7 separate regions of the Mus musculus genome follow, and regions 2, 3, 4, 5, 6 and 7 are each reported to be linked to region 1. The links are microRNA targets in miRTarBase. Many come from high-throughput screens and were not tested one by one. Region 1 holds a microRNA gene; each other region holds the end of a gene's coding sequence.

Evidence for each region. The annotated mature microRNA mmu-miR-17-5p reads CAAAGUGCUUACAGUGCAGGUAG and lies in region 1 at 1,856-1,878, opposite strand. An mRNA with a match to its seed (bases 2 to 7 or 8) in the 3' UTR can be bound and repressed. Matches are read on the target gene's strand: a 7mer-m8 pairs with bases 2 to 8, a 7mer-A1 pairs with bases 2 to 7 and ends in A, and an 8mer does both.
Region 2: miRTarBase lists Nrip1 as a target of mmu-miR-17-5p. The part of its 3' UTR that is shown has no 7-base or 8-base seed match.
Region 3: the mRNA of Adam19 is a reported target of mmu-miR-17-5p. Seed matches in the 3' UTR shown: 7mer-A1 at 2,936-2,942.
Region 4: miRTarBase lists Neurod1 as a target of mmu-miR-17-5p. Seed matches in the 3' UTR shown: 7mer-A1 at 2,548-2,554.
Region 5: miRTarBase lists Hdac8 as a target of mmu-miR-17-5p. The part of its 3' UTR that is shown has no 7-base or 8-base seed match.
Region 6: miRTarBase lists Ccdc88a as a target of mmu-miR-17-5p. The part of its 3' UTR that is shown has no 7-base or 8-base seed match.
Region 7: miRTarBase lists 2510009E07Rik as a target of mmu-miR-17-5p. Seed matches in the 3' UTR shown: 7mer-A1 at 1,840-1,846 and 8mer at 3,328-3,335.

Annotation. Positions count from the first base shown.
Region 1 is chr14:115,041,494-115,045,561 of GRCm38, reverse strand. Mir17 (microRNA 17) reads right to left here and starts at 1,891; the gene lies at 1,808-1,891. It overlaps Mir18 (microRNA 18), which reads right to left and starts at 1,711; the gene lies at 1,616-1,711. It overlaps Mir19a (microRNA 19a), which reads right to left and starts at 1,562; the gene lies at 1,481-1,562. It overlaps Mir20a (microRNA 20a), which reads right to left and starts at 1,405; the gene lies at 1,299-1,405. It also overlaps Mir19b-1, Mir17hg and Mir92-1.
Region 2 is chr16:76,287,399-76,291,466 of GRCm38, forward strand. It overlaps Nrip1 (nuclear receptor interacting protein 1), which reads right to left. Exons shown (of 4, transcript NM_173440.3): 4 at 5-4,068. The coding sequence ends at 3,784. Among named protein-coding and RNA genes, the nearest start is that of Gm30569, 11 kb to the right of the region's middle.
Region 3 is chr11:46,143,487-46,147,554 of GRCm38, forward strand. Adam19 (a disintegrin and metallopeptidase domain 19 (meltrin beta)) reads left to right here. Exons shown (of 23, transcript NM_009616.4): 23 at 306-3,861. The coding sequence ends at 359. Among named protein-coding and RNA genes, the nearest start is that of Gm35624, 20 kb to the right of the region's middle.
Region 4 is chr2:79,450,706-79,454,773 of GRCm38, forward strand. Neurod1 (neurogenic differentiation 1) reads right to left here. Exons shown (of 2, transcript NM_010894.3): 2 at 1,932-4,068. The coding sequence ends at 3,259. Among named protein-coding and RNA genes, the nearest start is that of Neurod1, 3.9 kb to the right of the region's middle.
Region 5 is chrX:102,281,304-102,285,371 of GRCm38, forward strand. It overlaps Hdac8 (histone deacetylase 8), which reads right to left. Exons shown (of 11, transcript NM_027382.4): 11 at 3,335-3,865. The coding sequence ends at 3,843. Among named protein-coding and RNA genes, the nearest start is that of Gm32262, 13 kb to the right of the region's middle.
Region 6 is chr11:29,503,996-29,508,063 of GRCm38, reverse strand. Ccdc88a (coiled coil domain containing 88A) reads right to left here. Exons shown (of 31, transcript NM_001363368.1): 31 at 1,930-4,068. The coding sequence ends at 3,259. Among named protein-coding and RNA genes, the nearest start is that of Prorsd1, 9.0 kb to the left of the region's middle.
Region 7 is chr16:21,649,869-21,653,936 of GRCm38, reverse strand. It overlaps 2510009E07Rik (RIKEN cDNA 2510009E07 gene), which reads left to right. Exons shown (of 2, transcript NM_001001881.2): 2 at 179-4,068. The coding sequence ends at 735. Among named protein-coding and RNA genes, the nearest start is that of 2510009E07Rik, 43 kb to the left of the region's middle.

The sequences.
Region 1 (4,068 bases):
ACTGGTGACAGACCCCTCCCTTTATAGGAGGCACATGGATCATGTGGATCGTGCTGACATTAGAGCTTTATCACGTTTTAAAGGAAGTTTTCATTAGTCATCTGAAACAAGTTTTAATCCAAAAATGTTAAGAATGGAGTCAGAAGTGACTATGTTTCTGTTTTAGTAATAATTGTACAATTCTGGTCACTCACAATCAAACCCAGGCCTGTGGAATCCTTACCTGGCAGCTCAGGGATCCATCAGTCAGCTTCTTGCATTTCTTTTAAAAAAAGCAACATATTATGGAAAACTTTAGCTCTGTAGATAGTGTCAGCTTAAACCTGATTTTAGCAGCTCTTCCTTATTAATTTTACTTTTCTTTAGGTTTCACTCCAATGATTTTTATTCATAGCCTGAAACCAACTGTGCTGCCCAAATGTAGAACTATATATTATATATACTGTTATCCTAAATACTAACTGCAGCTTCTCCAGACCCAGCACTCGAGTGTCATGTGTACCTGTCACTCTACTGACCATCAGTTTGCCATCTTTCCCTTGAGGGGGTCACATGGTAAGAACAGTCCAAGGATAGTTCTTTCTTACAGGGTGTGCACATTAACAGAGTGGCCACCACCTGTTAACTGTTAAGAACTCACGGATTAGGAATAATCTTATCAGAAAACACTCCATCTGAATTGTCACACTTTAATAAACAGAGATCCAAAGAAAGTAACATTTTTCTTAACTCATGTTAATGGGTTTTAGAGTAAAATAAACCTGAAGTCATACCAGGTTCAAAAGGCAGTTTAACTTCACCTAAGCCCCCACACACAACTTCTTACTAAATCCAGCGAGCAAACACGAAAATGAAATGATTCAGTAAAAACAAACCACAATTTAAAAACACAAATTTCAATTAAAAAAATCCCGTTTTACACACCAACGAAAGCAATAGAAATCACAGTTTACAGAATGTGTTCATACACTCCATCAGCTCGTGAACATTTTTACAGTGGAAATCGGCATCTTCAGCAATATTGTCATTTTCACATCTTCTGGTCACAATCCCCACCAAACTCAACAGGCCGGGACAAGTGCAATACCATACAGAGAAACACAGCATTGCGACAAATCCCAACCTGTGTAGAAAGGGGTTTGATTTTCCCTTACTTCTCTACAGACTTTTCACCACCACAGTCAGTTTTGCATGGATTTGCACAGCAGAATATTATACAGCTGGATGCAAACCTGCAAAACTAACCATAGACCAGTGCTCAATAACAGGACAGTTGGCTGGGCGATGGCCAGGCGAGGCTGGAGTTCTACAGCTGGCAGTACTTTAAGTGCTCGTAATGCAGTAGATGGCTACACACTACCTGCACTATAAGCACTTTAGTGCTACAGAAGCTGTCACATCACACACACCACGCAGGCTCTACATCGACACAATAAAAATACAAAATTAGTTTAAAAAAAAACAACACTTGAAGTAAATAGCAGGCCACCATCAGTTTTGCATAGATTTGCACAACTACATTCTTCTTGTAGTGCAACTATGCAAAACTAACAGAGGGCTGCAAACACAACTATGGAGAGACCCCTACATGCTTGCTTGACTTGGATTGGATGAGGACATAACTTCTTATGCCAGAAGGAGCACTTAGGGCAGTAGATGCTAGTCTACTTCACTATCTGCACTAGATGCACCTTAGAACAAAAAGCACGCAGCACCAGCAGGCCCTCCCCGCGACCGACTGACCGACGACTGGACGCAGCCAGTGCCGCCCGAGGCAGCGCCCACTGTGGCTCCCACCGAGGCAGCTGTCAGCATAATGCTACAAGTGCCCTCACTGCAGTAGATGCACACATCACTACCTGCACTGTAAGCACTTTGACATTATTCTGACTGGTCACAGCTTCAGTCCCAAGGTGAGGTTCACTTTATTCCTGCTAAATTTGAAATAAATAATTAGACAAAAAGGAAAAAGCCAAAGCTCTAAATTCTGTCACAAACATCAATTACAGCTTATACCCAAGGGGGGGAGGGGAGGAGCCAATAGCCAGAAGTTCCAAATTGGACACATGTAAGCCTTAAAAAAAAAAAAAAAACTCCTTAAAGAAATATAAGATACAATCCCATTAAAATGTTGGCTTTTACAGTAGGCTTCCCCAAAAAACACACAATAAGGGTCCTACAAAATGAGACCTGTTATCAGGAAGGCAGTCTGACTTGGTACTACCTTTAGAGGAAAGCCTCACATTGACCAGGCAGCAATCCCTTTCTTCTGTCCTCCACATTGTCAGATACTCGACAAGATTAATGATTATTGTTTAGTCATTTTCAAGTTTATTAGTCATAAAACATAAAAAAGTCTTAGTATCACCCCAAATTAGAAATACTCTATGACTCCAACTTGAAGGGTCTACAACTATTTGGTTAGTGTCCAAAAGCCACTGTAGATTTACTACGTTAAAATGTGGCTCACTCATTTATGACAAGAGTTCAAACTGTATTTATTTCATACCTTAAAAGACCAAGAATGTTGTACAAGCTCAAAGACAAAAGTGAAAACCAAAGGTCTCAAAAGAAGTTTTAGCTACAAAACTAGAATATACTCACCCACTCAGGCAAACTTCCTTCTCAGCAAGTATCCTTGGGCAATGCTTCGGGTGCTGCTAGGTCCACGTGTATGACTAGGGTTGGGGGTGGGGTGAAGACAGAGAAAGGGTAAGCACATTTGCTCAAAATTACTACCACTTTCCGAGCCCCATTCCAAGTTGCTCTTCTCTTAATCTTCCTAAGGGGCAATTCTATCCATTTGCCAAAAAAAAAAAAAAAAAAAAAAAAAAAGAGAGAGCCAGGACCACAAGGTCCTGAGGGCAACAATGTATTGGGTGGAAAACGCTGTAACAAAATAAAGTTGAAAACCCACCAAGATTCACATCCGTGCACGAATTAATGTGCCCCTGAAATACTGCAAGATGAGTAGCAGCAAGCCTGAACTCTACTGTCCAGCTCAAGCTAGAGAAAAAGGGCAACCAGGACTAGTCTTCACCACCCCTCCCCCAATCAGGACCTCGTGGCTGCACGCCGGGATAAAGAGTTGTTTCCCCAACTGCTGTGATCCTCGTGGCACGTTGCTCATTTTCTTCCCTCTGGTCACCTAAGAACCACGAGCCCTGCTGCGCTCTCCAGTTTTCTCCCCTCCGCGCCAGCTTATCAAGAGAAAACCGGACGGGAACACGGGATCCTGCCAAGTACCCGCCACGCTCATGGAGCCCGGGCCGGCAGCACATGTCGCACAAGGGGGCAGGCGGCCCTTGTGGGTTCCCCGCGCGGCCGCCAGGGGGCGGCAGGTCAGAGCCGGGCCGCGCTGCGCCGGACGCGGAGACTCCCCCCCCCCCCCAACCCCCGCCCGTTTCTGGGCGGCTGCGCGGCGAGCGGCGGCGCGGAGGCCCGAGCGTGGCGAGGCTCCGGACACGCCGGCCGTCCTTTGTGTCCCGCGCGCCCCCCGGCCAGGCTCCGGGGGAGGGAGGGGGGCGGACAGGGCGCTCGCCGCACGCGGCCCGAGGCCTAAGCCGGGAACAATCGGCGGCGGCGCGCAGTCGCCGCCATGTCCCCCCCCCCCCCGCCCTCGGCGCGCGCAGCCCGCCCCGCAGGAACATGGCGGCGGGGCCGCCGCTCCTGCCGAACCCGCCCGGCCCTCCCGCGCCGCGCTCGCAGCCAGCGCCCGTCCGGGGCTCCGCGCCGCCCCGAGGGCGGGCCGGGGCGTCCCGGGCCGCCCGGGCGGACCGCAGGGGTCGCCTCGCCCGCGAGGGGAGCTGCCCACGCGGCCGCACACAAAGCCCACGCGGAGCGCGGGGTGGCGCCCCGGCCCCGTCGCCCCGCAGCTCCCGCGTCCCGGAGCCCGGCCCGGCGCGCACAAAGTTTCGGGGACGCCGAGTGCCGCCCGCCCACGCCGCCCGCGCGCAGGTTCCTCGTGGGCGCGCCCCCTCCCGGCCCGCGGCCTGCCCCATGTGCCGCCGCCGCTTTGTTCTGGAGGCGCTTTAACTCTCGCCCCCGGGAGAAACTTTCCCCGCACGG
Region 2 (4,068 bases), not on the chromosome of region 1:
AGTATATGTATCTAATTAACTTTATTTTGGAACACTGTACAAACTTCAGTTTAAAAAAAAAAAACAAAACCATGTAGTGGTCATTCAGTTACATACTGAGAAATGGAAGACAGACCACAGGCCAGCTGTCATTTTGAGCTATACTTTAATTACAGGTTTCTAAATATACTAACTTGCTAATCAGTTGCTTATTTTTTTCCCCCTTCATTTTTCTGAGACAGACAAAATACATGTCTATTGCTTTTTTCCTTTTTCTCTCTATGACCTTGGACTTTAACATTAATGGAAAACCTAAAAACCAGAGAAAGCCCACAAAAAAGAAGCCATTTCAAGTTAGAGACAATGCATTTCTCATTTATTCAAATTCACTGCAGGAAGTAAACACTAAAAGATTTAAAAAAAAATTCACACTGCGGTATGTACAATTCATTACATCACATAAAGAAATCAAATTTAATAATAAAAATGGCAAATTAATATCACTAAGCAGGCTGCATCAAAACTGGCTGTAAACCCAAGATTCTTACCATGAACGGTAATGTGCCTATATTCCAGCATTTAGGAACACTGGACTATTCCTGGTTATGTTTCCAATGGGATTTGAAGAGTTGTGAAGTTGCTCTGTGAGTTCTTTAATGTTGAAAGTGGTTGATTAAAAAGAAAAAAAAATTAAGACCCTTGAATTCGAAGCACATTTTCTCACAAAGCATAAGCCACAGAGGTCATGTCCGGAAATGGAATACTGTCGTGTTGGATGACCATCTGCCCTGACTTAAGACGGTTTCTGTCGAATGCACAGATGCACAGGGTCCCCCATGCACTTGTCGTCATGCAGCAGGTACGCAGACTTAAATAAAAGGTTTATTTTATACATTTGTCCAGACTTGCAACTGTATACATACATGCACATTTTTTTAAACCTGTCTGATTATATTTACACTTAATACATGGAATATACAGGAACCAAAGAAATTAAAAGGTTTTTCTGTTGCATTAGAACAATACAAAATATGTATTTTTTCATTAAGGAAATCATTATTTACATTACCTTTAAAAACCAATTTTAACATCTTCATGTAACAAGTCAATATATATATATACACATTTATATATATATATATGTATATATATAGAAAATATATACTCTCACCAGTTTATTCTTCTGTAAGATGTAGCAGAGAATAAACAGGTAATGCTACCTTACTGATGTCAATGAGAGCTGTAGTACCCATTCACAAATGACTTTATTAGGAAGAAACTGCCCAGATATCGAAAATAGTCCTCGAAAATGTGTATGTGCATATTTGAATCTACATATGCAAAGTGAATTTGTGGATGTATTATGCCCTTTCTCTTCTTTAAGATTTCTCTAAACAAAACATGGGGGGGGGGTTATTCTCTAGAAAGTCAGAACAGCATCCTTCATAGGCATGTTTATTTTTGTCTTACATATTCTCATTCCAACAAAAACAAAACAAAACAAAGCGAAGCGATGCTGGCTCTGGACGTTTCCCTGACCTAAGTGCTGTTCCATTGTAAGAAGACTACTGCGCCGTGAACAGAGGACGAACTCCAGCATCCTACAATATATTTCTAAGGCTCCAGCCCTTTCACCATGACCAAGAAAAATGACTAAGTGTAAAGCTTATTTATATAGTGTAGACAATGAGATTGTCACAGTATAAACATGGAGTAAAGTACCTCACTGGCCAGTGGAATTTTTCATAGCAGAATAAGCATACACGTTCTCCTTTCTCTGATGTTGCATAACATACACTCTGGTTACCATATAACATACCCATTAACTATTTACAAATCATCTTGAGAAAAAATAACCATTTAGAATTTTAGGTAATTAAGAAATAATGTCCATTTGTAATATATATAAAAAAAATCTTAGAAACAACTTCAAGTATGTATAACAATTCCAAATAAACTTCTTCCTACTTAACTGCTGAGTACACAGTAAGTTTTTGATAAGTCAGTTGTTAACCTGGCTCAAAACTGAAAAACAAAAAATATTGCCTGGAGGAGGAACTGTGGGCTATAAACAAATGAACTTAAAAACCAACCTGTTTCAAGACTGAAATTCCACGTGGCTCAATTATATATTAAGTTCTTTCAAGACAATGTCAGTATTTACTTTTAATGCCTGTTTAAAATGAATTGATCCGTGAAGTGACTGTGCAGGTCCTGTCATGGATTGATAAGTGCCCTTTGATTTGGTTTCAGGTAATCTGAGTTTGATGTCTTTCTTGGGTTGAATCTGTTAACTCCATAAACACTGCTGTGCAGAGGACAGTTTGACTAGCAGGTAAGGATGTATTCAAGAAGTTTCCCAACCGTCCTGGGATCACCTGAGTTTGCTAAGTGGCCCTGTTATTCCACCCCTAAGGCTAATTAAGTTAATCTTACTAATTAGAGCAAATAAATAATCACAGATTTTCCTGAGATGTTGACCCAGATAGGAAAGTTGTCCCCTCTACCCAATTTTTTTTTTTTGTCATAAAAAGTATTCCGAACCCGATTTCCAAAGATATAATAGTAAGATTGGAACTATGATATTGCAAATTTTGAGTGGATATGTGACTGTATTGGGGGAAAAGTATAGGCATCAGATAGTTACTTTAAAGTCTCATGTTCTGGAAAAGTCCTAAGCCACAGTTTTCAAACATCAGTGTGCGGAAGAAGCACATACAGAACATGTCAGGATACAGGCGGAAGGAGGACGCCCGGGTCCACTTGGAGACGGTGTTCTGTAGACCTGAGATGCTGCCTAGGAGTCTGCATTTAAATAACTGTTCCAGAGACTCATGTGATAGTCAGATGAATGCAGTGTCTCTGTCCAGAATTAAGAAATCCTGGTTGTAAAGTCACGGGTCCCACAGGAGTGGTGAGGATCAACTTTCAAAAGAGACGGTAAAAACCATCCAAAGAAAACCCATTTCTGCTTTTGTTAAAAACGATTTCTAAGTAGTCAATTGTCCAGGAAACAGCCTGAAGGTGAGTGAAGATTTCCTTCTCTAATTTTGAAAAAGGAGGAGTATTAATTTAGTAAAGTAGTCAAAATATAAAAAAATGGAAATCTGCCTTTTATTTTTAAGGATCTATTAAACTCCCCTCTATTGTAATCAATTGTTACTAAATAGTAAAAGGTTTAAAGAAATATATATATTGAAAAGGTCTGGGGTGGGGCAGACTCATTGGGAACCGCAAAACCCCTTCCAAGAGTTAAAAAGAATTTTGTTTAGCAAAAGTGAAAAAATGTAAGCATTGCTTTTTCTTACTTTTAGACTGATGAGGTGTGAATCAGCACAAGGCTTCTGGGTTTTTTTTTTTTTCCTAATTTGGTTATCTTCCAAATAGCTAACAGTTTGGATGTTACAAACACGTTATGTAGGCTGGCTTCTGAGATGGGAAATGAACAACCCTAATAAAGACAGCAAGTTGCATCAATCCACTACTGGTGAAGTTGTGCATTTTAATGTATGCCTCTTATTTACGATTATAAAAACAGGTTCATTCGTAGGCTAGTCACAGTTGTTATCTGATGCATACAGAAATAGTAAACAACCAACCTCGAGTTCAATTGTTTCCTCATGACATCTAATGTTAAGCAAAAATTAGTATGCATATTTAAACATCACCAGTGACCAATACTTTCAAAAGGAAGGAGTTTCAGTTATACCATGCTTTTCTCAAATCATGCTCTTATTTATACAGATCTCAAGTTCATACTGACTAAATTTTAAAAAGACCCAAAGTGGTATGGCAGGTACACATTTATTCTGACTCTTTTTTTATGGTGAGCGCGTTTCCCAGAAGTCCATACACTTCTCCATTTGTACTGTGTGGGCGAGAAGCATTATTTCCCATATGGCTATTGTACGGGCTTCTTAGATTAAAGAAAGAAGCTTTAGTTTCTGCAGCGGGAAGTAGCTCTTCTTTGACTGTAACCTGTGAGAGACTCTCGGCTGACGCAGGCTCCCTCCAGATGTCTTTGTCCTGGGTTTCTTGTGTGGTAACAGAATTGCCCCCTCCCTTCTGGAGCATGTAATAGAGGATCGG
Region 3 (4,068 bases), not on the chromosome of region 1:
CTGCCATGTCCTCGGCTTAGTCTGGGGAGTTGGGTCAGAAGGGGTGAGGCAAGAAAGCTGGTTGCCAGCCCGTATCCCCTGAAGCACTAGGGAACTAGATGTACTGAAACTTGATGGAAGAGGGGAGGGGCTAAGTTTCCAGCTTTGGGGGTGGCCACACAATTGCTCTCACTACAAGGGCCAATGGCCCTGGAATGCAGCCGCGGGGACAGACTTCTGAGCAAGAGGACACTTGCCCACAGTCCCACTGACCAGCACTGAGGTCACATCGTTTTTTGTTTTTGTTTTTTTTTTTTCCTTTCCAGCTACCCGAGTACCGATCACAGAGGGTTGGAGCAATAATTAGCTCCAAGATCTAGAAGTGTCGAGAAGTTTCTTGTTCCGATGGAAGACTCCGGATGCCATGGAAGGTCCAGAAGAAAGACGCCTTCTCACCCATCCTGAAGCTTTGGCAGCCTTCTGGAACGTCCCTCATCCCCAGAATCTCCCTTCTTACCCGAGTGCCTCCTGCTTCCTCCGAGGCCCAGGGGGACTCATATCCAATGGCTCCTAAGTGTTTGTCCTGTGCAATATACAGCCCAGGGAGGGAAGGGAAGCACGGCGAGGAGGGTGGGAAAGGTTCTCCCTCAGCCCACTAGCCAAGAGCTACCAGCGATGCTCAGGGAAGGCTTGAGCTGGGGTCCTCCTCTGCGGAGCTTGGAGAAGGTACCCATCCTGGTCCTATGCTGGCAGGAACACACGCGAGTGTCACTGATTGGCCTCCTTCTGGGATCCCAGGCTGCTGAGGAAGCTACTGCTACATCCCTACCCCAAGGGGCTTGGTCAAGGTGCCTGTTCCTGGCTCTCTGGCTGCATGTGATAAGCCATGCTCCCCTCCCCTGCCTTTCTTCACATTCCCACTCCCATATTTACACGGGTCACTCTGACTCAGACAGGTACTATTTGTAAGTAGCATAGACAGCAGGGGGGTGGGGTGGTCAACCTGTGTCCCCTCTGAGCCGTTATGCCAAAGGTCACTAAGGACATTTAGAATCCCCATCCATCCATCCATCCATCCATCCATCCATCCATTCATCCATCCCCAGTGTTCCATGTGTCACCTTCTCCTTTTCCAGCATCCCTATCCTATGGTGCTTTGGTGGTGAACTATGGCAGTCCTGACTTGCTGATGACCATATGCTGGTGACCTACAAATCGGGATCCTGCCATATGGGGTCGCCACTGGACTTTCTGCACTGGATCTCAAGAGCGTTGAGCCGAGTGGGCGTGTATGTGTGTGTGTGTGTGTGTGTGTGTGTGTGTGTGTGTGTGTGTGTGTGTGTGAAAGAGACAGAGGCAATGAGAGAGACAGACATGCAGGCAGGCCGACAGCTCTGCATGTACTTGTGTTTTACGGCCTCAAGCAGAATAAGGGACCTCCTCCTTATTTCTGACTCATATCTAAGTAAGGTTCCCCAGGACAGCCACAGTTGTACTGAGGGGGGCTGACATGTTTGGCATCCTGGCTATAGTATTGTATACACAGGGCCACCAGCCCCGCCCTAGTGGTCAGCTCTGAGGGGGGACTGGTGACTCTGAACAGATCGATGTCAACAGCCATGGTGAACCAGATCTGGGCAGGGTTCCCCAAACTCTATTCAACCAGAGTTTTATCACGCACCTCATCGGGTCTCTCCTGGTTGCTGCCCCGAGGTGATCGTCATGGAAAATGCTGAGAAGGTGGGAATGGGATGGGGTGGACCTTCTCTTGCTTGGTGCTCCGCTATTTGGAACAGTTCTTACACATTTGCTGGGCCTGGCCTCTGAGAGGCCATCTTCCACCCCCAGAAAGGTGCTAATGGCACTGCAGAGGGCTCTCTAGGGGCCTCCCCGCCCCAACAGCAAGCAGTTGTTAGCTCTTGGAACCCTCCAGAGGAAGAGGCAAGCGTTTGACTTCCCCTTTACCACCTGAGGCCTCCTTATATCTCTTCCCAGAGTAAGCTTTGGGATTGTAGACATGTGGGAGCTATGACAGACGTGGCCTGGGGTAGAAAGATCTCAGGAAAGCACCTTTCTCCTTTTCAGGGTGACCGTGCTCTTCACACTCTCTGAGGCCTCAGTCCATGTCCTATATCAGTTTCTCTTTTGTGTGCTTTACCAAGTGGCCGGTGACTACAGGCCACCCCGATTCTCACCACAAAGTTAGAAACCCTCCACTTTCTGTCCCTTGAACCATATCAGAAAAAGACCCATTTCCTTGCTCTTTGGTAATCACTTCTGTTTTTTTCTTTTTCATTACTTTGCTACCACCTCCATCCCATGACATTATACTGTGAAGTGTAAGAGGACGGGGTTTTTTTAAACTTGGTAGAAATGTCGGCAGCTGCTCTACACACAACTTCACTCAAGGCTTTGTTTCCAGAGGCCAGCTAGGCTGTCACAGGCAGGAATCCCTTCCCATCTGCTTTGTGAAGGGTCCCATACAGGTGTATCTAGACTTCAAGGACAGGGTTTGTCTCACAGGATTGTCACTTAGGAGATGAAAGAATATTACCACATGAGGAGGAGGGGCAGTTGCAACAGAACACTTTGGTCTTCCTACACCAAGTCTGTGAGGGCATCCAAGACTGAATGAAAGCGCTTTTCTTATGCATACAATGTGAGCAAGAACAAGAACTGTTTAAGGCACCTCTGTTCCCAGCCACTGAAGAGAGACGTCAGAAGATGTTAGAATAGGTCAAAGCCAAGGCTCTGGTGGGCTGAGGGAAGGTTTGTAGCTGCGTTTAGTGGTATACATCTTTAGTCCCAGCATAGGCAGGTGAATCTCGAGTTTGAAGCTAGCCTGGTCTAAAAAGGAAGTTCCAAGACTGCCAGGGCCACACAGAGGAAAAAAAAAACCCTCTAGAAAAACAAAAATGAAGACAGGATCTCATGTATCGTAGATTGGCCTTTAAGTCACTTTACCAAGGATGATCTTTGAACTCCTGAGTACAGACTGCGGGTGTGTGCTACCATGCTTTATGTGGCCCTGGGTTCAAACACAGCCCTTCATATGTATATAGCCAAACACTCTACAACTGAGCTACATCCTCCAGCCTAGGCTGTAAATGTTTTTTGGAGCTAGATTAGCTGCCTGCCAACCTTAGAACTGCAAAGCCATTCCTGACCTGTAAACCTCAGCTCTCCATCTCTATAAGAGGTATAGCCTGGGCTAATACCGTCCAAGTTACAACTCCTTGCTTGCTTTCTGTTCCTTCTAGCCTTGGTGACTTCCACCAGGAAGAGAATACCCCCTCTCTACCCCTGCTCCAAGACACTGTAGATGCTAGTGTCGGAGTGTTCTCTGTAACGCGACAGTTCCTTCTGTTGCAATAGCCCCCCTGCAACACTGCAATAATCCTTCAGTGTCTCCCCTGGGCTCAATTCACTTCCTTATTTGACAAAGTGGAGGTGAGACTTGTATTCTTAAAATTGGAGGCTAGTTATTTTGTCAAATGCATGTAATGAACAGACCCGAAGGAATCCTCCACACACAAGCCAGGGAACACCAACTGGAAAGGTACCCCGTCCCAGGGAAGCCTGCTAGGGAGAGGTTCTGTAGAATCCGAGCCTAGCACCCCAAAGTCATGCACCCAGTATCCTCTTGTATGACTGTATATGTCTATGTCTGGGATCCAGGGCAAATGTGAATTTTCTTTTGATTTGGGAGATTGTTCACAGGAAGTAGTCCTCCCCTCTCATGTCCTCCTATTGATTGTTTACAATATTTGTACATCTATGCAAAATACTTGAATGGGCCATGGTGCCTTGTTTTTTGTTGTTGTTGTTATTTTTTTCTCCTTGTTTGTATTTAATTAAAACAAATTGTCATGAGGAAATGTTCTCTGTTTGGATGGCTCTTTTGTGTGTGAACTGTTTCGGTAATCCCACTGCCAGGACCACTTAAGACATGTGATGTGAACGTCTCAGAGGACTCATACAGACCAACAGCCTTCCAGTCGGCCATGACCTGTGCCACAGTGATGCCCCGGGGTTTCCCATGGCCAGTAGTCAGGGCTGCCTGCTTTGTACCTGTGCTCAAGATAGTCT
Region 4 (4,068 bases), not on the chromosome of region 1:
TTAAACATTTGAGTGAGTAAATGTGTAGAATATGTTTCTGACATTGGCGCTGGTTTGGTGGTATTTCTCTGATCAGATGGAAGTGCTATGCGTTATGCAGGGTGCATGCAGTTCATTCATGCATAAACAATATCATTTTCATAAATTAAAACCTTCCCTGCAGAAGGAACATCTGTGCCTGCCTTTGAATAAAAGATGGTGGCATGTGAGTTACTCCCTGACTGACTGAAAGAATCCCTACGCCTTTAGAGTGAAATTTTAAACACACACAAAATGAAAAAGAAAAAGAGTGAAGCAGAGCCTTCATCCTTCACGCCTACCTCTAATGAAACCCATAGTCTAGATTCTTTTGCTTCCCATTTTAAATGTTGTGATTCTAGAAACACCACCCTTGGTTCTTCTGTTGACTCTAGCAACAGTTTTTAGTTTGCATGGAGATGTCTAATTTTAATTACAGGTGAAACTGAGCTGCTTAATAGATCAGATCAGATCTGAATGTTCACTTTATGGTTTCCTGTGCTGGGAGGCTGAAGGATTCTGCTATCAGTATTGTGTCTCCTAAAGTCAATGGTGAGAAAAATCCAGGCTAGGAAGCAACAGCTTGATTCCAAAATAACTGCTCTGATTCACTTGGAAAGAGACAACTACATTTGGGGTAAAGTTGGGACCAGCTTTAATGTATTTCTGTGTGTGATAAAGGCTGGTAGAAAACATTATTTTAAATTACATTAATTTTTTTGAATGTTGAAATATCCCTTACTGCTACTGTCACAGCTTGATGGGGCCTCGTTGGCAACGTTATTACTATGGCTAATTGTTCCTGTCTATTAGATTACTCACGTTTTTCTGGAGCAGCTTACTAAATAAGGTCAGTTTTCTGGAACCCTTAAGCCACCAACGAGAAGGAGATTAAAGGAACATGCTTGCAAGGGAGGTAGGCATCCAATGTGGTATCCGAATCAGAGAAGGAACAATGACAGCAATCAGAATCACAGTAGAGACAATACAACTGCCAAAATGCTATTCCATAAAAATCAAGACTGTCAGTCATTTCTCATGGGAAGGGAAATGCCAAACTATTTATTAAGTAGACTTACCAGAAGTTAAGTTGGTGTGGTGTGGTGTGGTGTGGTGTGGTGTGGTGTGGTGTGGTGTGGTGTGGTGTGTGTGTGTGTGTGTGTGTGTGTGTGTGTGTTTATAAAATCAAAATATAAAATAGCAGGACTGTACAGAAAACTGTGGAGTAATATACACTCCTAAAATAGAACACAAATAGTATATACTTATGTACCAAAAGCTCACTAGCACTTTAGTGGAACAATTAGTGAAGACATCCCAAACACTTAATAGAACCATTATAAAATGCCTCATCTTTTGGGAGCCTTTCAATTAATTAAATAATTTTCCTACAATATCAGATATATAGTTTGGAGTGCAGGACTGTTTGAAAGAAAGCTATCTAGTTCAGGAAAGATACAGATAACAGAACAGTGAGAAAATATTCAATTTTGTTTATGCTTTAAATATGTATAAACAAATTAAACTAAGGTATTTGCTTATGTCTTGCTAGTTAATACTTAAGTAAATCCGCCTGAAAAATAAAAGAAACTTCTAACAATCATTTCAACAAACAGAGACAAACAAACAAACAAAGAGAGTAAAGGTGAAGACGTTTCACCTTTAGAAAACCAGAGTTTTTTGTCCAGCTTACTCTGTGCTCAATACTCCAAATAATAAAACAGAGGCGAGGTCTGTTTGTTATCTGAGAAGCCAGTGACCCTCTAAGCAAGATAACAGACTAAGCACAGGACAAGCTCAACTCTATATTTTATTCCTAATGTTTAACATTTAACTCAGCAAATACAGACGTTGATCCTCCTCGCTACAATTTTACTCTTTAAAATCCACTTTCGAAAGAAATGAAACAATTGTTTTGATTTTCCATACTATTTTTATTGCAACTGCATGGGAGTTTTCTAAATTGTGCATTACACCATAATACACAGGATTACAAACAAGATTACAGTACATGTCAATTCCAGTAGTACCAGCATCACATCTCAAACAGCACTTATTCTGGACTGCATTTTACATGCAACAGCTATTGTTCTAATTATGAATTCGATGGTTTGAATTTTATTTAAACTACTGTACTAACTGACTACACAGGTATAAAAACCCAACATTAACAACCTGAATAAATTTAGGCTCAGATTTATTACATGAATAGATGACAAACCACCATTTGTTTGACTATGTATAAAATCATGCATTTATATTTTCTGGAAACATCAATATCTTCAAACACTCCGTAAAATCATGGAATTCAAAGAAGTAAAAGACTAAAAAGAAAGAGTGCAAATTGTATGTGATAGTCAAGCAGCTTTTGATTTAAAGGAGTGTGTGTTGGCATTTATTTATAATATGTATTTACAAGCTTGTGCAAGTAATGAATTGATGTGTTTTGATAAGGAATGCATTTCGGTTTTCATCCTCTTGAGTGTTATGGGTCTGGTTTCTATTTTAGGGAGCGAGCAGGAAAAACTTTAAAGTGAGATGAATTGCTCAAATTGTGCAATTTGTTGGTTTTTTTTCTTTTCTTTTCTTTTTTACAATTAGAGAAGAAAGAAGTGCTAAGGCAACGCAATAACTTTCTAAGCACTTTTCTGCTGGTTTAAATTAGTTAAATTATTTTGTATAAATTAGATATAATTCTACTTTTCTGATATGTATAAAAATTGATGAAGCTGCATGGTTTTAAAATAGGAAATCCACGTTATAAAAAGTCATTAAAAATTCTGTACAAAATCACAACAAAATAATTCAGCATGGGAAAGGTCACAGGTAGTAAAATGCTGGTTGAAAAATATATATTTATATATATTTTAATTGGCCCATTACTAGTTTAAAAATTGCATAGATCCTAATTATTGCTTGTGATTTTTTTTATCCCGATCAGATAATTAATACGATCTGAATACAGCTACACGAAATTCGTGGTACACATTTTCTTTTTTACTTTACTGTATTATTATTTTTAAAATAGAAGAGCTATAGAAAACAATACATAAGGTGAACAGGAACTTTGATCCCCTGTTTCTTCCAAAGGCAGTAACGACAATAAATACATATATCACTTGAAGCTTTGAGTATTTGCACTTTGCAGCAATCTTAGCAAAAGGGCTGCCTTCTGTAAACAGGACAGTCACTGTACGCACAGTGGATTCGTTTCCCGGGAATAGTGAAACTGACGTGCCTCTAATCGTGAAAGATGGCATTAAGCTGGGCACTCATGACTCGCTCATGATGCGAATGGCTATCGAAAGACATAATGTTGTCTATGGGGATCTCGCAGCGAGGGGCAGCGGCACCGGAAGAGAAGATTGATCCGTGGCTTTGGGGCCCTGCCAGCGTCGCTGCAGGGTAGTGCATGGTAAAGGCATAATTTTTTTCAAACTCGGCGGATGGTTCGTGTTTGAAAGAGAAGTTGCCATTGATGCTGAGCGGCGGGCTGAGGGGTCCGTCAAAGGAAGGGCTGGTGCAGTCAGTTAGGGGGCTTTCAAAGAAGGGCTCCAGAGCTGCGCTGTAGGCGTGTGGCGGCGGCTTGACGTGGAAGACGTGGGAGCTGTCCATGGTGCCGTAGGGCGGGCTGGGCAGTCCAGGGGACTGGTAGGAGTAGGGATGCACCGGGAAGGAAGCGCTGGCGGTTGGCAGATGCGGGGGCATGTCCGGGTTCTGCTCAGGCAAGAAAGTCCGAGGGTTGAGCTGCAGGCAGCCGGCGACCAAATTGGTAGTGGGCTGGGACAAACCTTTGCAGAGCGTCTGTACGAAGGAGACCAGATCAGGGCTTTTGCCTGAGCGCAGGATCTCTGACAGAGCCCAGATGTAGTTCTTGGCCAAGCGCAGTGTCTCTATTTTAGACAGTTTCTGGGTCTTGGAGTAGCAAGGTACCACCTTGCGCAGGTTGTCCAGCGCCGCGTTCAGCCCGTGCATGCGGTTCCGCTCGCGGGCGTTGGCCTTCATGCGCCTTAATTTAAAACGTTCTAGGCGCGCCTTGGTCATCTTTTT
Region 5 (4,068 bases), not on the chromosome of region 1:
TTAACTCTCAAGTTATAGACACAGCCTAAAGTTTTCCTATAGTCTCTCTGGTCCTGGTGCATACTCTTATATGCACAATATTTAGGCTTTTTTCTTGGAGACAGGTTGTCATGTAGCCCAGGCTGGCCTTGAACCCCTGCTTCTACCTCTCGAGTGCTACGATTATAGGTATGCACCACCACACAGTTTTTAGGGCTCTTTTCAGATGCCCCCATTTTTGATAAGTCAGTAGCCCCTCGCAAGAGCCCATGAAGTATAGAAAGCATTTGCCTCACTTTCCATGGGAGGAAATGCACGCAGCAAGGCCAAGCATCTTGCTGAAAAAGCACATGGCTAATTTGTCTGTTTATTGTAGGGTGAGGGCCTAGGAGTAGTGTGTGGCTTGATTCAGCTTGGACTTTGTAAGGAAGAAGAAAATCTTTTACTCCAAAGTCACACAGTTTAAAGGACATTCTAACCTGGACCCGAGGATCTCTCAAACAATGAGCCACCAACCAGGCAGCATACACCAGCTGATATGAGGGCCCCAACACATGCAGTAGAGGACTGTCTGGTCTGGACTCATCAGAAATGATACACCTAACCCTGGAGATACTTGAGGCTCCCAGGAAGTGTGGAGGTCTGGTAGGGTGGGGGGTGGGGGTGGGATGGGGACATCCTCTTGGAGACCAGGACTGGGGGTGGGGAGGTGTGGGATGTGGAACAGTCAGAGGGTGGACCGGGAGGAGGATAAAGTCTGGACTGTAAAAAAAAAATTAATGAGTAAATTAAAAAGAAAGAATATTCTAGTGGCACTAGTGTGGGGCTATGGAAAAAGTAAGGGAGCTTGCAGTTCTAGCTAGGGTTGTTCTCTTCTACCCACTCCTGGGTGAGTTACTTCAGTTTGTAGACTCAGTTTACTCATCTCTAAAGTGGGTATAATAATACCTATCCAGCAGGAAAGATAATGGCACACTTTAAGTAGAAATGCCTTATAAAAAGGGGTGCATTCTGATTTTTGCCTCATGGTTGTCATCAGAGTCACTGGGCTTGAACTTAGTACGACAGTGGGTAGGTAGACAGTCGCCTTTGACTGAAGGGAAGGTAAGCTCACATCAGTATCCGCTTCCCTTGCCCTGGAGCCCATTTCTCCTGGGGCTCTTCTCAGAGCCTCCTGGGCAGTAAGAACAGCCCTGAGGCTGAGCACAGGCCTGCACAGTGGGAGGCTCCAACTGACTCAGATTCTTATCACAGAGGACAGATAAGAACCATTTCCAGTCTCCAGAATTTAATCTGACAATTTCACACACAGACACAATGCATTTTGGTCACAGTCACCCCATTATACATTTACTCCCCATCTCCTCCAGCTGAACCCCGTCTCCCAACCACGTCTTTCTTACTTTCTTTTTCTTTTTTTTTTTTTTTGTTTTTGGTGACTGAGTTTAATAAGTGTTCAACCAAGCAAACTCATTTTGAGCTTACTACTTTATTTGTGGGACTATGAGTAGAGCCTAGGGCCTCATGGATATAGGCAGGCAGGCAGGCAGGCAGGCAGGCAGGCAGGCAGGCAGGCATTGCACACTGAGCCATATACCCCAACCCCAGCCTATTTTTCCATTGTGAAAATAAAATTCGATTCACTGAGGAAATCTGGAGAAAAAAAAAAAAAGCTCCAAAAGCAAACCAAAGCATCTTATGATTTCCTGGTCCACTGAAGTCCATCTCACCATCTCAGTTTCTTTTTGGTGCATTTCCTTGTGGCTGTTACTGCCTTTATAACTCAGGACAGAGCTGTTCTTAACTTGCTGTGTTGGGCTTGTAGATGCTGGCTCTGGGTATTTCAATTTTGCTCGGTAAATTTTTAAGACGTTATCCTTGCCCTTTACCTGTTGCTTTTTTTTTTTTTTTTTTAGCCCACCGTTGCCTAGCTTTTCTTTCTCTTCTTCCCTCTCCCTTATCCTCTCTTGTCTCTCCTCCTCTATTTTTGAAGTGCTAAGGGACAGACTCCAGGGCTGTGTGTAGGCTGAGCACTAACTGCACTCCAGGCCAGCATAGCCTATAGGAATGCAATGAATGACAGTCTGGAGGCCCCTGCACTGGTACCCTCTGACGCTTGGCCCAAGGTCATCAACTCAGTAACTTTTATGGATCCTGTTGGGCTAGAACTAAGGCAGAGGTGGTTCTCAGGCAGTGCCTTCTTGACCAGGAGAATGGGTCCCATGGCAAAAGGCAACCTTTTGTGGGTATCCCCTGCACCTTATACTACTCTCTCCACATAGGGGGGATATCCTTGACCAGGGCAATTCCCACCTAAAAGGGCCACAGGGCACTAGCTAGCCATTGTTCCTACCAGGTGGCTGCCTCTCATGACTGAGGCCTTCATAGGGACCCTGGGGGTAGCTGGAAAGGACTGTATTGGGAAACTCAAGTGGGATAAGCAAACCTTTGAGAGGGCAAACCTTGGCACCTGCCCATTCAGCCAGCCATTCCCCACTTTCCAATTCTTTGAAATCCCCCTTCTTTTCAGCACAAGCCAAAGTGCCTTAAGCCTAGAGTGTATAATTAGAATAGTGGACATTTGAAGCGACTGGTACTTCTAGTCCACCAGACACTCTCACTGTTTAATAAAAGCATGGCTATTCCCAGCTCAGGACAGACTCAAGGCTTTCTCACTCCCTTCTGTGGAATGCTCTTGCTTGCCTGGGGGGAACTTCAGGTTAGCCATCCCTCCAGATGCTGCTGAGGGCCTGTTGGGCAAAGCTTGCAATTCAGAGATTCCCAGCTTTGTGCATATATTTGCTTTTCTTTTTCCCCTTGCCCCAGGCCAGGACTGGGCTGCGCTTGTGTCTCTTAGACTTGTCACAGTGGTTGAAAGAACTTAATAAACATTTGGTCAATCATGTTATAAAAATCCCACCAAATGGTCGTCTTCCCCCATAGTTTGCCATCTTTCCCCATCACACCAGCCAACTGTCATGTGAATCAACTGTCTACACTTGAGCTGCAAGTGTCCTGTTTACCCATGGAAATGCCCTTTGAGGGAAATGCCTTCCGACCCATGAGTCCTTGACAGAGCAAACGGCTCCTCAGAATGTAGCAGGCCCCTTTTCATGGATGCAGAGCCTATAACTCCGCACCTTCTTTTTCATGGTCAGACTCCAGCGCAGGACAGAGCTTGTCATCTGGTCTGGGGATACACTAGTTCCCCAGGAGGGTCCAAAATTTAAGGTGAGAGTCCCAGGCTGGCCAGGGCAGAGTATGGGAACAAGAGGGCCATTTTTGACCTTTGGTGGCAGGAAATGTTCAGAACTGTGTGTGCTGTCGGTAGCAGTAACAGAGCGGTGGGACGAGCTACATTTTCAAAACTTTTATTAAGAACAACTGGAGTGCATCATACTAAAACAAAAGTGGTAGACTCCTCCTTACCTCCCAGTCTGCTGATACCCCTCCCCCACAGGTCTCTATCTAAATGGCCCCGAGGGCCGAACCTGCCCATCTGCTGACCCCCCTACCCAACCCCACTCTTCTGCAGCTCCTGACTTGTCCCCTTTATGAAGATAAAATTCTTCCCCCCAACTTGCTTAAAAATAATTTTGAACCATTAAAAACTGCATTTGTGTTTTAAAATAAACACTTTAAACACTGGCTATCTTCTTCTTCCCCTTAGGCCTGGCTCCGGGGTGCCTGGCTCCTCACCCCAGGAGGCCAGCTGCCACTTGGTGCCCCTTGGAAATTTTCAGGAAGTAATTTCTTCCAAATTTCCCCTGCAGTCACAAATTCCACAAACCGCTTGCATCAACACACTGTCTTCATTATAGGCACTGCTGCCCAGCTCTGGGAACCTGATCTCTTTTTGTCAACTAGACCACATGCTTCAGATTCCCTGCAGACAGGAGAGAAAACACAATTCAGATTCAGGTAACATGTATGAATTACATATCTCAATAGGGCTGTGAAGAAGGAAATACGCATTTACATTTTGGAGCTGAAAATGAGACTGTGGTGGCCCTTTTTATGGGGATAAGCCCTAAATGATGAGGGAAAAAGGGCCTAGATATTCCTGTTATCCTAGAACGTATTATGCAA
Region 6 (4,068 bases), not on the chromosome of region 1:
TAGTTTTTGGATAATACTTAGAAGCAGTAAGCAAAAATGGATAAATTAATAAACAAATGTTGAAAGAAGTAGGCTGTTCCTTAGAATACTTGACCTTAAACACTCGGTCCTTAGTGAGAGAATGTCCTTTATTCAGTAGAGCTTAGTGCACTGTACAGTGTCCTAAAACCTTCTAAAACTTTTGGCAGCTGAATCCAGTAGTGCTCCTTGATTCAAGGAAGAATGAAGTTTATATCTCTTCCCTGCTCTAATCACGAAGGGATGTGTTAAAATCTCCTTACTGTTTTTAATAGTTCCTATAGTTGCTAGGTGTCTTGTTACTTCAGAAATAAAGTCTTCACACTGAGAAACTGAAGGACACTTTTCTCTCTGTATTTTGTTGAAAGACAGAAAAGAAGAAAGAAAATGTAAGAATAGCTTGAAGATAAGAGGAATATAAACTACAGGGAAGCTACGGCAAGAACAACATGCACAGGTGTTTATATGGAAATGAGAGTGACAGAAAGCCAGAGGGAACGTCTGAGCTGTTCTTTGTAAGACAGGTATTTAGTGCATTCTTACCAGTTACTTAGAGGTTGTAACCGCATGAAATATTTTAGATTACTCACTGCTAAAATTACATTTCAATTGAGAGAAAATACTTTTTAAAGGCTTGCTACCCAATTAGACAGGCAAAAACCTATGGTAGTCAACTACTCTTTACTAATTAAGCAGGAAGGAAAGTCAGTGAGTCCAGCAAGCGAAATGTAACTGTTAGTGCCATGTGCACTCGTTATACTTAATTCTGTTAGTCTGTACAGATGAGACTCGTCTCACTTAGGGTTCAAGCAGCAAACTCACCCCAGGCCCACATGTCATGCAGTGGGTCACTGAATTAGGAGCTTTGTTGCTCCCTAGACCTGCTTTTTGAATTTCTGCTCTCTTGTACTTTGTTCACATCTGTGGGAGAAAAGTAGTTCATGTTATTTACTCAAAAGTTTAGTAACAAAATTCATGAAGATAAACTAAAAAGCTCTTAAAGCTGAGTTGAACAAAGGAATTTGAAACGTGGAAAATTAATCTGACAGACGTTTTACATGGAACCTATTTTTTTATATTTTAAAGTCATAAGCAACATAGTATTAGTGGTGTTTGAGGAAACTTTGACTCCATAGTATGTGCTGTATTTGGAAGAATTCTACACTACAATCTTAGCCCACAGGAAATATGGACATAGTATTTACCTCTCTTACATGCAATGTATCCTTTAGACATTAGAGACAGAATACTTCTGTAAGTCTGTTTTCATAAAATAAGACAATATAGCTTTTATAAAACACATAATTTAAAATATACTTTAAATTAACAAAATTAGCAACATTTTTTAAGTGTAGAAAGTATAAGGTTTGTTTCATGATGTCCAAAGCTAAGTAAAGCATTTCTGTCTTTGTGCTGCATCAGTCTCAGCTTACCATTTATTAGTAGGCTATGAACAAAAGGGAAAACAGCACAAAAATGTCTGAAGTATTAAGACTGACTAGACAAAAAATTCATAGTATAAGGTAATGATATATTCATGCAGTAAGCCTATTAGGTGGTACTAAAATATGTAAAATACCGCTTGGGTTCATCTGATCACTTGTCTCAGAACTATTTTAAGAATAGCTGTAAGGAAAGAAACATATGGTCAGCAATATAAACAAAAGGGATCTATCTGTAAGGTGATCCTGGGAATGTACCAGGGGAGAGATTTTTAGTCAGGCAAAGACTGAAGATTTTCCCTTTTGTCTGGTATTAATGACAGCTCAGCGAGGTTAAGTACACAAGCACTAATCCCTTCACTCATAGAGCTTCTTATGGCACCTACCTAAGGCGGAGTTTTATCAGTAATATTTAGGCTGAATCAAAATTATTAAAACATTCCTGAAACAGCTAAATATCCTGCAGAAATAAGATTATAGATTTTTTTAATGCTGAGGAATTAAAGCTGATTTGGTGTAGATTGACATGAACACAGAAAGATAATTGAAAACTATATGACATTGGAGTCCATGTTTATGGATAGTATCTTTGTCGTGTGTGTGTGTGTGTGTGTGTGTGTGTGTGCGTTTGTGTGTGTGTACTGTTTGAGAGCGTGGGGAGCTAAAGACTATTTTTCTATTTTTGCTTGTTTTGTTTTCTTTTTGTTTGAACTTTTTGAGACGGGGTCCCAGTTCACAGCGCTGGCTGGCCTGGAACTCAGAGAACCACTCACCTCTGCCTCCCAAACTGCCAGGGTTAAAGGCATACACCAGGCAAGACTATGTTTTTAATACAACAGATTTTAGAATAAAGACTACATAGTGTATTTTTCATTTTTATGCTCACAAGTTCTAATTTTATACTCTAGCGCAATGTATTAATTTTTAAAAAGTTTGCATTAAGGATTTACATTTAGTAATAAATTAATGACAGAAGTTAATTTTTTTCATCATTTAAAAACCTTGCTATTCTTCTGAATTGAAGTAAAAATACAAATTCCCAAGGTAATAAGTAACTTGGTTTATTTCTCTTTGACTCATATGTTTAAAAAAAAAACTGGAAAAATTTGTGTTAAGGATACCAAAAAAATAAAGGGGAAGTAGTTAAGCTATTGCATTTATCGGGAAAGGAACAGCACCAAGAAGGGAACTGTAATACAAACATGCCTACTCACTGTGTAAGTTACATTTAAATTTGATAGAAAACTCCAGGAATAACACATTTATGAATAAACAGTATTTTAAATTTGAACAATGTTTTATAAGTGCAAGCATTAGTTCAAATAAAGATGAACTATTAACTATTTCTTTGAAAAGAGAACAGGAAAGATAACATGATTAAGTGACAAAAAAATACCATTTCAAAAACATTTTCTTATGAATGCTGTGCATGTGCAGCATGAAGTGCACATTCAGGAAGCAAAGGAGAGGGCTGGGGAGCAGGCAGCAGGAAGAGCGATGAACATGCTTTTTAGAAGCAGCCAAACAATGACTTGGATATGTTTTCTTGATAACAGAACATGCAGCTACTTGGACATGATCCATGACATGAAGTGTCTTTATCATCTTTATCAAGCATTAAAAAGATGTAAAAGAAATGTGGGTGGGGTTTAAAAGGCATGCAAAAATGCACAATGCAATTACTATTTCATGCAGACTTTGGTGTGGTGTTTATATACATGCCTTTTTATATAGCTGAACTCTGTAACAATCTTAATATAAGCCTAATGAGTAATATTAACATACTATGCAGTTTTGATCAAATACAACCATATTCATACCAAACAATTTGGCTGTCCTCTGAAACCGATAATGCAACGTCTGTGTCATCAGGGTAGAGGCATGCAGGAATGATAAGATCGCTATCTTCAGAGAACTGTGTCTTACTGTGACTGGGGTTCTGACTATCAGAAAAATGTTTGTTATCTTTCTGTGCAGTTTTATCCAAAGAGGCAAAGGTCTGGCCAGTTATTCTAGTGAGTGGTGACTTGGGAGGTAACCCACTTATGTTACTAACTAGTTCTGTGTTCAGGGATAGAAATGGCTGAGATGAATGAACAACACTAAATGTCTCATGGCTATCATTACCTGATATTCCAAATGTATCATTAGACATTTTAACAGTGGCAAAAGTTTGGTTTAGAAAACATGGCCTTCCTGAACTTGAATTTCTAGCCTGGGTATAAACGGACTCAGATGTGTCTTCAGAATGTGTTGGCATGTCAGAGGACCACTGCTGTAAATGGTACTCACTAGATGCTGTAGTGCTGCTGCTACCAGCAGTAGGTGGTGATGAATCGACTGACACGGGCAGTCTACTGTCTTTGCTCAAAAAATCATGGATGCTCGTCCTTCGAGTTGTTCCTTCAGCAGTAGAGATCACACTGCTTGCACGAGGTAAAGTGGCATAAGGATTGCTATCTTTTGATTGTCTTGACACAGAGGTTTCTTTTACTAGTTTTATCTTTCCTTGAGTGCTTGGTGTAGGTTTCCCTGCAGAGCTGATGGTGTAGGCATCTTCAGTCTTTTGAGGACCAGTTCTCAAAAATTCAGGCTTAGTTGTCCGTCT
Region 7 (4,068 bases), not on the chromosome of region 1:
GAATCAGGAATTTAATACATGAATGTGAGGGCTGTCAAGTGACGGGGATGTTACTGGTTTGATCTGGATGTCACCAAAATAGTTAGAGAACATGCTCTGTAGAGCCAGACTGTCACAGCTACCTAATAGAGTTTGCATGGTGGGCCTATATTTCAGCTGTATCTTATGTGTCCCACAGGCAAATATGTGTATCAGCCTATGACCCCCGTGGAGCAGCTCCCAAGCACAGAGATCCCTGCAAAGCCCCGAGAGCCGACTAACACCATTCAAATCTCCGTCTCGCTCACTGAACACTTTTTGAAATTTGCGTCTGTCTTCCAGCCTCCGCTTCCCCCTGACTCGCCAAGGTACTGTATGATTTCCGATCTCTTCATCGACAACTATCAGGTTAAATGTATTAATGGGAAGATGTGCTATGTGCAGAAGCAGCAGGCGCCCCACTCCCAGAAGATGAGCCCTGAGGAGGTCTCTGCACACGATGCCTTAATTTCTAAAGAGAGTGACACTCCGAAACTGGGTCACTGCTCCTCCCCTTCCGGTTCCGAGGACTCGGGGATCAACGCCATTGGGGCTCACTATGTGGAATCCTGTGATGAGGACACAGAAGAAGGGGCGGAGCTGAGTTCCGAAGAAGATTACAGCCCTGAGAGCAGCTGGGAACCCGATGAGTGCACCCTGCTCTCCCCATCGCAGTCGGATCTGGAAGTGATTGAAACGATGGAGACCACTGTGTAGGCAGCTGGGAACTGCGGCCGGAGGTCCACCCTGAGCCTCTTCTGTTCTTTGATTGGACGAGTCCTTTTCCAATACTCTTGGCCTTTTCCAAGGCATATTACTAACAGTCGCAGTCCAGTGGTCTGCTTAGTGTCCCCTTATATTACCTTGTAACGACATTGTTTCCTTTTGTATCTTGCTTTCTATGTAGCATCTGGTGTCATGAGTTGTGACCCAGCCTTAATTTCACTGAGAACTTTGAGAGCAGTGGTGACCACAGCGTATCCAATGGAAGAGCTACCCAGAGTGGAAGTAACCATATTTTACCAGTAGCCTGTCCTACGTGATGAAGGCTCAGCTTCCCTTTGGCGTGTCATGTGACACCTCTGTCCTGTTGGTTTCCGGGTGGGGGAGCAGCTCACTTCTGGAAACAGTGTTGCAGCCACTGTTCCCTCCCTTGCTCTTCTGTTTGCCACCCACATTGGCTCAGGACAAGAGTGGCTTCGGCTACTTCTAGGAGGTCCTTGGAGGCCCTTTTGACTCCTGGTGATGGCCATGTCACAGCATCTGTGACTGAAAGGGTCTCTGGGGTTTGTGTCCAGTCCAGCTGGGATTCAGGAGGACTCAGTCCTGGTTCTCACCTCGAAGGGGCCACATTTTAGTACAGGACACAAGTCAAGCAGCTCGCTGAGCCAGGAGGATAATGGGATCAGGGGAAGGAGAGTGGAGTTGGCCTGGGCTGGCTGAGAATGTGGCTGCCGTGTCTGAGCTGACCCCAGGTGGATTCTACAGCGCCCACTGCCCTTGATTGTTTTGCAGTTCAGGGAGAAGCATTTAGGTTTCGTAGGTATTAGAGTTAGGAGGTAACACATCTGACATCTTAAGGAAAAAATACACACTAGTTTTAGTTAGCATGAAAATGCTAAGAGACAGAAGTCCTTTAGGGATTAGGAATGAATCTAATAGGTTTGATCAATCCTGCTTCGTTTGGTTGTATGAAGCATTAGAATGGCTTAGATGAGAAATGGACTAGAATTTTGTATGATGCATGGATTTTATGCAAATGCAAAAACAGTTGAAATAGCTCACTGCTGAGTCAGGAAGATGTTTTATGTAACACTTCTTCACTTTACTCCACTGGAATCCACACACATTGTGTGGATTCTCTCTCACACACAAAATAGTGAGTAATTCTTATGTAGCTTTCTTCAAAACTCTGTTCCTAATTTGCTATTAACTGTGTATTCTCATGTGATCTTATTATCTGCCATTTCCCCAAATATATCTGTGAGGCATAGTACAAATCTGGGACTTTTAAAAATATACTGTCATAAAACAAGAGTCCCAGGGCTGCAGGGAGACCTGCCTCAGATCCTGGCTGTCTGAGCAGGCACTGTGGCCTTGCTGTGTGATCAGCATCTCTCTACATCCCTCTGTCTCATTAGTGTGTACTGCAGGCAAGGAGAGCATGCTCCCTAGGCCTCCTCATTTGGGGGCTCTTCACTATGTACGCAAGGAAGAATCTGCTTCCCTAGTTGGATATGGAGTCCCAGTGCTTACTACTAGAACCTTCTTTAGGCTGCCTATCCCCAAACACCCAGTGTTCAGAAGGCAGAATATATGCCTTCCTCTGGAAAGCATTAGTTAAAACGCCCTGTGTGAGATGAGAATGTAGCAACTCCTCCCTCTCCCCACATACTTAAGGACTCACACCAAGGACCAGCAGACACAGGGAGTGAGGATTCACCAAAGACCAGCAGGTACAGGGAGGGCAGGTGGGAGCCACCATATCTTGGCTGTGGGGTCATTCTGCTGGCCTGGGATGGTCTGGTGACACCTGGTGGGCCCAACTGAAGGTCGTAGTGCCTCACTGTCATGGAAAGGAAACACATGAGCCACATATCCCTCATCCTGCACTCGTGGCTGTGATGGGCAGCAGCGGCACCATCCTCAGACCCTGAGGTGGAGAGGCAGACACACGGCAGGACTTACTCCTGCACCTTTCCTATCTACTTTTTTGCTACAGGGCCACTGCCACAAATACTAAACTAACTGGGATCTAGAACCCGGGCCCCAAAGCCATGAAAACACACGGTCATTGCCAAAGTTCTGAAGGCTAGCTGTGTGTTGGGCTTGGTCCCTTTATTAGTATAACATCTGTGACTTCTGTCCAGGGTCTTGTTTTCTAAACCCCTGAAACTGCCACTCAGACTTGCCACCATTGTGATGGGATTTTTGGATTTAATAACAATTGGTGATCACATTAAATATTTGCACCAACTTTATAACTACATTCACTAAGCTTCACTTGCCGTTTTATAAAATTGGACACGTTCCCTTGCATTCTTGGATCTCCAAACAGCCTTTTCTAAAGAAGCACAGCCGAGAGGTTTTTGGTTTTCTCCTCCTAACAGACTTCATACCAGTAACTGTCTGAAATATGACTAAGCCAGAATCATTTCTCTATGCTTGCAGTCTGAAATCAGCTCAAGAGACTATAAAAAAATTGTATAGCTTAACCACAATTCTAGGCCTATTCTGTTCTTTGTTCTATGAAAGAATTTCTCTATAATCCTGATATTATAGTGCTGATTTGTATATGCGTATTCATAGGCACTTTAGAAATACTTAGACACAACATGCACTGTAGGCGGTAAGCACAGTGGTGTTAAATAGGCTTTTGACTAACACTTGTACAGTGAGAGAGACAAAAGCTTGCAATCTGGACCTTATAGGATGCTTGCCTGGAGCTAGGCTTGGACCACGTGGATAGGTTTTTGTGGGATTCTGGCACTGTTACCACTTTTGAAAGGTTGTTGGGTACCAGGGTAATCCCACTAAATGTGGAGTATACTTTTCTTACCTAACCAAGATCTTAAGTTTCAAATGTGTCCATAGCTTTTGTTTTTTGTTTTTTGTTTTTCTGAGAAATGACAAAGCAATTAAAGTCCTTTTTGGGATAACTATTTGATATCTTTAAAAAAAATGAACTTTAAAACCTGGGGTTTTTTTTGCCTTTAACATTTAAGGAATAATATGAGAATCTGAGGACAACCCTGAAGACAAAGTTGTTTTCCTAGAAGAAAAGACTAATGCCTCAAGGTGAACAGACTAAAACCTGAGCCACAGAATCCAAACACAACACAGCACAACACAGTGTAATATGGAGCCACAATGTAACACAACACAACACAGTATAATAACAAATTAACAACACAACACAGTATAACAAAATAACAACACATCACAGTGTAATAACAAAATAACAACACAACACTGTATAATAACAAAATAACAACACAACACTGAGCCTCCGATCAGAAGCACATGGCTGTTTTCTGACAAGCCTTTAGG